2 linked regions of the Ovis aries genome follow. The protein of the gene in region 1 purifies or fractionates together with the protein of each later gene. This does not show direct contact. Links are inferred from orthologs where the notes say so. Each region holds a gene or a part of one and is shown on either strand. Other genes may lie near its edges.

Region 1 (4,175 bases):
GGCCCCACTGTTGGTGTCCGGATGATGATGGGGCCAGAGTTTGGAACAGCCTGAAGCTGAAGGTTCTGGAGGGTTTCCTGGGAGATAGCTTGAGTTGTAAAGGTCTGCCCTGACAATGGGGCGGCTTGGAGGGCCTGAAGAGCCTGTCCCCCTTGAACCAGCTGAGGCTGGATGAGAATTTGTTGTTGTTGCTGTGTCTGCTGGTTTTGCTCTCCCTCTTTTTGCTGACTTGCTTGCAGTGAACCTCCAGATGTCTGGTTCTGCTGGATGTTCAGAGTATCAGATCCCTGAAGCCCACTGACCCTCTGGGGTGTCTGGCTCTGAGAGTTGGTCCCTGCTGATCCGCTGGTGGTGAAGTTCATAATTCCCATGTTGCTGGTGGTAGTAGTTGTTGAGTAGCTATTGGCATTGGTGAAAAAGGAGCTGGAACTGGCTTGTGAAGATACCAAACTGGCAGAACTGATGGCAGTCCCTGAGGTGACAGGCTGTGAGCCACTCTCCTGGGACCCAGAGCTGCTGATCGTGACTGCCTGAGAGCTAGGAGTCAAGGTAGCTGCAGAAACGCTGTTGACAGGCAGCAAGGTGATATTCCCATTCAGGGCCACTGGTACATTGGTCACATACTGAGTCTGTCCTGAGAGTACATTATTAGCCAGGCCTTGAAGGGGGACAGCCTGCTGGAGTAGGTTTGGCATAGCAGCAATGATGTTGCCTCCACTTCCTCGATTTGTGATGATCTGTTGGTTTGCACCTGGTATGATCTGTATCTGACCTGAACCATCCTGCTGCACTTGGGCCCCAGTGGCAGCAAACTGCAGCTGTTGCCCATCAACGGTCTGGAACTGTGGGATTACTTGATACTGAATATTAGGCATCACTCCAGGTAGTCCTGTCAGGACTTGCTGGTTCTGAAGGTTGGAAGTGGCAGCCACAACATACTGCCCACCGGAGACCGTGCGATTCTTTGAAGACTCACTGCCATTGTTGCCGTTGGTACTGCTGCCACTCTGTTCCTTCGAGGTAGGGGTAGCCCCAGAGGAGGAAGAGATGATCTGCCAGCCATTGGCACCCTGGGAAAGTTGTGTGGCTGTGAGGTCAAGCTCACCTGTGCCCCCTGACTGGCTTGGGCCCTGGGAGTTGTTGCTGTTTTCATTGGGTGACTCAATTCTGCTGCAAGTTGCTGCCAGCAGAGCCAAAGGGGATGGCTGGGATTCCTGGCCAGAAATAAGGGAGAGGAAAGGAGTTACTTTAGTGATACCCATTTGCCAGACCAGGGGGCAGTGTAACAGCGCAAAAGGGGAAAAAAAAGAAAAACCCAACCAACCAAAAAGTTGGATCTATCTATACTGTTGAAACTCTCATTTAGGGGGATCTCCAAGTCACTTGTCTCTGTGCTTACTTCCCTATCTATAAAATGGTTTAGCCCTTCCCCAAAATTTTTTCTGTAAAAAGACAGTCATCTACAGTCATCTAAGGATATTTACAGCCTCTCAGCACCTTCCCCATTCTGTCAGGATCATCACTTACCTGCCCTCCTCCTCCGCTGCTGCTGCTACTGCCTGCGCTGCTGCTTCGAGCCTGAGAAAAGGCACCACTACCATTTCCATTGCCCCCGTTATTGCCACCAACTCCTTTTTCAATCTTCACCACTGCTGTCATTTCATCCATGGAGTGATCTTGGTCTAGAAATAATTTTTAAATAATTTAAAATTGGATAAAGCAAACTTAAAAAGTGAGAAAGGATAAAAGAAGCTGTGATGAAACAAATGACTAACAGGAAGGTGAAAGGCGCCAGTATTAAAAAAAGGATTCGGGGAGAAGGAACAGTTGCAGACCAGTAGGATGTGATCTAGGCTCAGTGATGCCAAAACTGGACCTCAATTCTCCCTTGCACAAAATTAAACTCAGAAAACATTGAAAAGGTGCTTTTGGTACAGGAAATACGAGGGTCGGCGGGCATGTTGAAAAAGTAACTTAGGGGGGAAAAAAGGATAGATAAGGCATAAAACATGTGGGTGGATGGAAAGTTTGCTAAAAACTAGGGTCAAAGGAAATGGAGAAAGAGAAAAACTCAAGTGTAAAAAGTAACAAGAGGAAAGGAGGAGAAAGGGGAAAAGAACAGATAAAAAGTTTGGGTGGGGAAACATTTATAAATACTAATAAGGGGCTAAAGAGGTCCAGGGGTTAGAAATCAAGCGATTCGGGGCGGCTAGAGGGCGGGCCCTAGAGGGAAAGGGCGGTTTCGGGGTGTGGGGCGTGGAAAGGGCGGGACGGTAGGGGGGAGGGGTAATTTACGGGGGGAGGGGTAATCTACGGCACGGGGGGAAGGGAGGAGGGCCTTGGGGCCGGCGGCGACCAGAGGGCGGACCAGGGAGGCGGTTGGCCCGGGCGGGGCCTGCTCTGCTCGGGCCGCCCCCGCGGCTCCAGCCCCCGGCAGGAGGAGCCTCAGGCGGGCAGCCGAGTAGTGGGGGGTAAGGCCCGTCCCCCGTGGCCGGGGCGGGCAGGGGGCGGGCGAGGCCACGCTGCCCCCTCCCCCGGGGCGGGTGGCCCATCCCCCTCCTCCTCCTCGGAGGCCCCGCCACTGCCCCTTCTCCCTCCCTTCCCTCCGCCCCGGGCGGGACCAAGGCCGCCGCCGCCGCCTCCCGCCCGCCCCCCCTCACGGCGGGGACCGCCCGGTCAGCCCTCGCGCGCGCCCCCTCACTCCCCTCCCACCCCTAAGCTTGGAGTGGACTCATCCTTACCGCTCATGGTAGCAGCTGAGGGACGAGCTCAAGGGGGTCCTGTCCGGGGGGGTTGGGGGGGGCCAGGAAAAACGCGGACGCTGACGAGGCAAGCGAACCCGGACCGGACAGGGAGGGGGGGGTAAGGAGGAGGGAGCAGCGCGCCACAAGCCCGGCCTAGGCCCCGCCTCTTTACTGCTGCCCCGCCCAATGAGGGAGGGAGAAAGGAGGGACTTGCAGAAGAAAGACGGACAGATTGCCCAATGCCAAGGCTCGCTTGCTCTCTAAGGCGTGTAAGACAAAGTTGCGTGCGTGGTGTCCGCCCCAAAAGATCGGCCTCTCAGTTTTAGAGGCCAATGAAAGAGGCAGGAAGTGAAGGTGGGCAGGAACTAAAGATGATGGGCTTGGGGAAGAAGCCAGTCAACTGCCAGGCGGGCTCCGTGAGTAGGAGGGATTGGAAGAGCTTTCATTGGAATGACAGAACAACAACCAACCAGAAGCTCGGACGTGCCTGGGCAAAGTCCTAGTGGGAGGAGATAAGAAGTAGACAGGAATGGGATAGGATGAAGCAGATCAAAACCAATCAGAAATCAGGCGGGCAGCCAGGAAAGTTATGATTGGATTAACACTGAAAAGAGACGCGATAGGACGCAAATTGACGTGTATAAAAGCCAATCCAAAGCCGCCTGAGCTCCGAGGGCAAGAACCTGGAGTGGGCAGAGGAGAATTGGCCTCTGCCTCAGTCGTTCGGTCCAATGAGGTGGCGCGGGGGAAAGTCAGCCACCGCCTCCACTTGGCTGATGGGCGTTACCAGAGCCGGGAGGAACAGGGCTGTGCCAAGAGGAGTCCGTCGCCATTTTGGCCCTCCTCTGGGGACGTCTTTACAGTGATTAGGTAGCAACGCTTCAGCTGAATCGTGCAGCTCAACAAGTGTCAGGCCGAGCCTCTCGGCGCAAAGTTTTGCTTTGACACCAAGGCTCCTTTGAGTCTTAATTTAACCGCTCTTAAAAGTACTTCTCGAGTCTCACCCCTTTAGGGGTGGGCGGAGAGGCAGGCGGATGCCTCTAAATGTGGTGTAAGCCCTGTGGGTACAGGCGCAAGAACTCTGGTGAGAGTTCTCACACAGCCAGTTAATGAGGTGACCGATTTGCGAGGTCTTTGTGAGACTCCAGCAAACGCCATTTTATTAAATTCTCCCAATTTGTCTGGTGCTGGCTACTTAAGGGGTTAAGTTTTCAACAGCTTGCATTTGGAGCTAAACTATGTTGGAGAACCTCCCATAATCAAGGTCTTATAAGCCACTTTCCGCTGCCGCTGCCGCCTTAATTGTAAATACGCTGTAAGCAAAGCAAAGTAGCAAAATAAAGTTCTTGCTTTTTGCAAGTGCATAAAAGGATTTTTCCTGAATTTCTGGCCTCCCATTCTGCCTTTCCTTTATCCTAGTTTTTGTGGCGG
Region 2 (3,674 bases), on another chromosome or scaffold:
CAGCAGGGGCCTGCTAAAAGAGGAGAACTCCTTCCTCCCTTCTGCATGGCCCCCTGGGTCCTGCCTGGACCCCCACCCACCAGCCTCAGATACAGGTGCTTTGGGAGGGGGATGACGAACAGCTCTGAGGGTGCCTGGATAAGGGCTTTTCTTTTGAGAACAGTGGGGAACATGAAGCTGTGTGATCTTGGGTGTGCTGTGGGCCTCTGGGCCTCTTTGTACTGGGAAGAGGCCCTTCTTTCTGATGTGTGTCCCAGAGCGGTGAGCGTTTGGGAGTCTGCGTTGGAGACAGTTAATACAACTAATAAAGATAACAGTAAGGACACCCTCGCAGACTTAAACTTGGAGAAGCCAAGTGACTAGTCCAAGGTCACACAGCGTGTGGTCGGGGGGCACCCCACCCCCGTTCCACCCTCCGGGGAGGGGGCCCCAGGTCAGGGCGGGGTGGGGCTGGAGAAGACCCAGGTGTGGTCCGAGGGGGAGGGAGCAGGCAGGTGCGGGGGGCGGGGCCGGGGGAGGGGCGCTCGCCCCCTTGTTTGCACCTCCCCAAGCCCCCAACCCCAGGTCTTCCTATTTCAGAAGGGGAGTCACCGCAGGTGTGAGTCCCTCCTGTCCAGATCTGGGGAGGGGTGCCAGTTTAGCGGCGAGGCCGCACTCGGGGGAGGGCTGTGGAGGCGGCTCACCCCTCCGGGAGTCCGAGCTGGAGGGGGTTGGGGTCTCCAGCATCCCTGGCTGGGGGGAGAGGGGCGCGCCCCCTCCCTGGAGAGCCAGGTCCGGCGGCCGCGGCTCCCGAAGGCCAGCGCCTCCTCCAGCAGGGGGCGGGCGGCGGCCGCGTTCAGGGTGGGAGCAGACGGCCGCCCGGCCCCCTCCCCGGGTTCCCCCTCCCTTCTCGTCCGCCGGCCGGCCCAGAGGGGGCGGTCCGGGGGCGGGCTCGCGCCTCTCCGCGCTCGCCATCTCGGGGCCGCCGGGTGGGAGTGGACAGGGCGGGGGCCCGAGGCCGCCCCCCACCCCGGCCCCGCAGGCCGGGGGACCCCCGGGGGCGCGCTCCGGGTCTCCAGGCCGGCCCGCCGGCGCCCGGCCGGGGGTCCCGGGCGGCCGCGGCGTGTCCTCTGCGTGCCCGGGGAGGGAGGGGCCGCCGCCGGGCGTGACGCAGCCGTTGCTATGGCCCGCCTTTATAAATAAACGGGCTCGGGAGAAACTTTAGCGAGTCAGAGCCGCGCACGGGACCGGGAAGGGGACCCACCCGAGGGTCCGGCCGGCAGCCCCCCGCACTGATAGCGGCCACCCCGGAGCAGCGGCGGCGGCAGCAGCAGCAGCAGCGGCGGCGACACAGCAGCGACTGTTCGGAGCCGGGAGGCCGCGCCACCTGCGGGCCGGCCGGCGCGGGCAGCCCCAGGCCCCCTCCCCGGGCACCCGCGTTCATGCAACGCCTGGTGGCCTGGGACCCAGCATGTCTCCCCCTGCCGCCGCCGCCGCCCGCCTTTAAATCCATGGAAGTGGCCAACTTCTACTACGAGGCGGACTGCTTGGCTGCTGCGTACGGCGGCAAGGCGGCCCCCGCGGCGCCCCCGGCGGCCAGACCCGGGCCGCGCCCCCCCGCCGGCGAGCTGGGTAGCATCGGAGAGCACGAGCGCGCCATCGACTTCAGCCCCTACCTGGAGCCGCTGGGCGCGCCGCAGGCCCCGGCACCCACCACGGCCACGGACACCTTCGAGGCGGCTCCGCCCGCGCCCGCCCCCGCGCCCGCCTCCTCCGGGCAGCACCACGACTTCCTCTCCGACCTCTTCTCCGACGACTACGGGGGCAAGAACTGCAAGAAGGCGGCCGAGTACGGCTACGTGAGCCTGGGCCGCCTGGGGGCCGCCAAGGGCGCGCTGCACCCGGGCTGCTTCGCACCCCTGCACCCGCCACCGCCGCCGCCGCCGCCGCCGCCGCCGGCGGAGCTCAAGGCGGAGCCGGGCTTCGAGCCCGCGGACTGCAAGCGGAAGGAGGAGGCCGGAGCTCCGGGCGGCGGCGCCGCGGGCATGGCGGCCGGCTTCCCGTACGCGCTGCGCGCCTACCTCGGCTACCAGGCGGTGCCGAGCGGCAGCAGCGGGAGCCTGTCCACGTCCTCGTCGTCCAGCCCGCCCGGCACGCCGAGCCCCGCCGACGCCAAGGCACCCCCGGCCGCCGCCGCCTGCTACGCGGGGGCGGCGCCGGCGCCCTCGCAGGTCAAGAGCAAGGCCAAGAAGACGGTGGACAAGCACAGCGACGAGTACAAGATCCGGCGGGAGCGCAACAACATCGCGGTGCGCAAAAGCCGCGACAAGGCCAAGATGCGCAACCTGGAGACGCAGCACAAGGTCCTGGAGCTCACGGCCGAGAACGAGCGGCTCCAGAAGAAGGTGGAGCAGCTGTCGCGCGAGCTCAGCACCCTGCGGAACTTGTTCAAGCAGCTGCCCGAGCCCCTGCTCGCCTCCTCCGGCCACTGCTAGCGCGGCCCCCGTGCGCGTCCCCCGCGGCCGGCCGGCCGGCCCCCGCGCTGCCGGGCGCGCCGCGGCCGCCGAGACTCCGGGGAGCGCCCGCGCGCCCGCCCGCGCCCCTGGCGGCGCCGGCAGAACTTTGGCACTGGGGCACTGGGCAGCGCGGGGAGCGCGTCGGTAATTTTAATATTTTATTATATATATCTATCTATATTTTTGTCCACACCAGCCGCACGTGCAGACGGGGCGCCCGCCCGTGGTGTTATTTAAAGAAGAGATGTCTATGTGTACAGATGAATGATAAACTCTTGCCTCTCATTCTGCCCACCCCCCCTCTCTGGGCGCCGGCGGGCGGGCCGGTTTCGAAGTTGATGCAATCGGTTTAAACATGGCTGAACGCGTGTGTACACGGGACTGACGCAACCCACGTGTAACTGTCAGCCGGGCCCTGAGTAATCGCTTAAAGATGTTCCTACGGGGTTGTTGCTGTTGATGTTGTTTTTTGTTTTTGTTGGTGTTTTTTTTTTTTTGGCCTTTTTTTTTTGTATTATAAAAAAAAATCTATTTCTATGAAAAAAGAGGCATCTGTATATTTGGGAATCTTTTCCGTTTCGAGCATTAAGAACACTTTTAATAAACTTTTTTTTTTTTTTGAGAATGTTTAAAAAGCCTTTTGGGGGCAGTAGTTGGCTTTGATTTTTTTTTCTTCCCCTTTATTTTGGATTTATATTTGCCTTTCTGGTGTGTGGGGGGTTGTTGTTGTGTGTGTGTGTGTGAGTGAGAGCTGCTGTTATTTTTGGCATTTTAGGTGGTTGGGTGGGGGTGTTGCAGCTGCTTATTCTCCTCTGCTACTCCCCCCCTCAACCCCACCCCCAGGGCCTGTGCTTGGAGATGGGGGTATCAGGCCTGGCGCGGGGGAGGGGCAGAGGAGTGCTGGGTCAGGCTTTGAGGGTGACTCAGTGCGGCTGAGTGCTGGGGAGGAGTGACTAGGAGCCCTGCTTGGGGAGGGCCTGCAGGGCCTCTGGCTGGTCCTGAGTCCGGGGCTTGGGTTTGGAGGGGCTTTGCGGGTTCTGATCTCTGCACAGCGCGTGGGGACCCAGCCCATGGGACTGTGACTCTGAAAAAGAAGGGGTACAGGTCTTGGTCCTACTGAGCCCAAATCGGAGCAGACTGTTTTGAAAAGTGAAGCAGGGCATGGTGTTTAGAAAATAG

What was found. Proteins that work in one complex are often made in the same cells at the same time.
Region 2: the proteins of SP1 (region 1) and CEBPB purify together in Homo sapiens (affinity purification with western blotting; 4 studies listed by BioGRID, with this or other methods). This does not show direct contact. The link is inferred for Ovis aries from reciprocal best matches to the Homo sapiens genes SP1 and CEBPB.

Annotation. Positions count from the first base shown.
Region 1 is NC_056056.1:133,125,949-133,130,123, forward strand, and holds the start of SP1 (transcription factor Sp1), read right to left. Parts: upstream 2,865-4,175; 5' UTR 2,749-2,864; coding exon 2,742-2,748; intron 2,472-2,741; exon of another isoform or gene 2,331-2,471; intron 2,226-2,330; exon of another isoform or gene 1,776-2,225; intron 1,683-1,775; coding exon 1,528-1,682; intron 1,215-1,527; coding exon 1-1,214. UniProt on the Homo sapiens protein: Transcription factor that can activate or repress transcription in response to physiological and pathological stimuli.
Region 2 is NC_056066.1:78,225,780-78,229,453, forward strand, and holds CEBPB (CCAAT/enhancer-binding protein beta), read left to right. Parts: upstream 1-1,202; 5' UTR 1,203-1,421; coding exon 1,422-2,474; 3' UTR 2,475-3,114; downstream 3,115-3,674. UniProt on the Homo sapiens protein: Important transcription factor regulating the expression of genes involved in immune and inflammatory responses. Also plays a significant role in adipogenesis, as well as in the gluconeogenic pathway, liver regeneration, and hematopoiesis.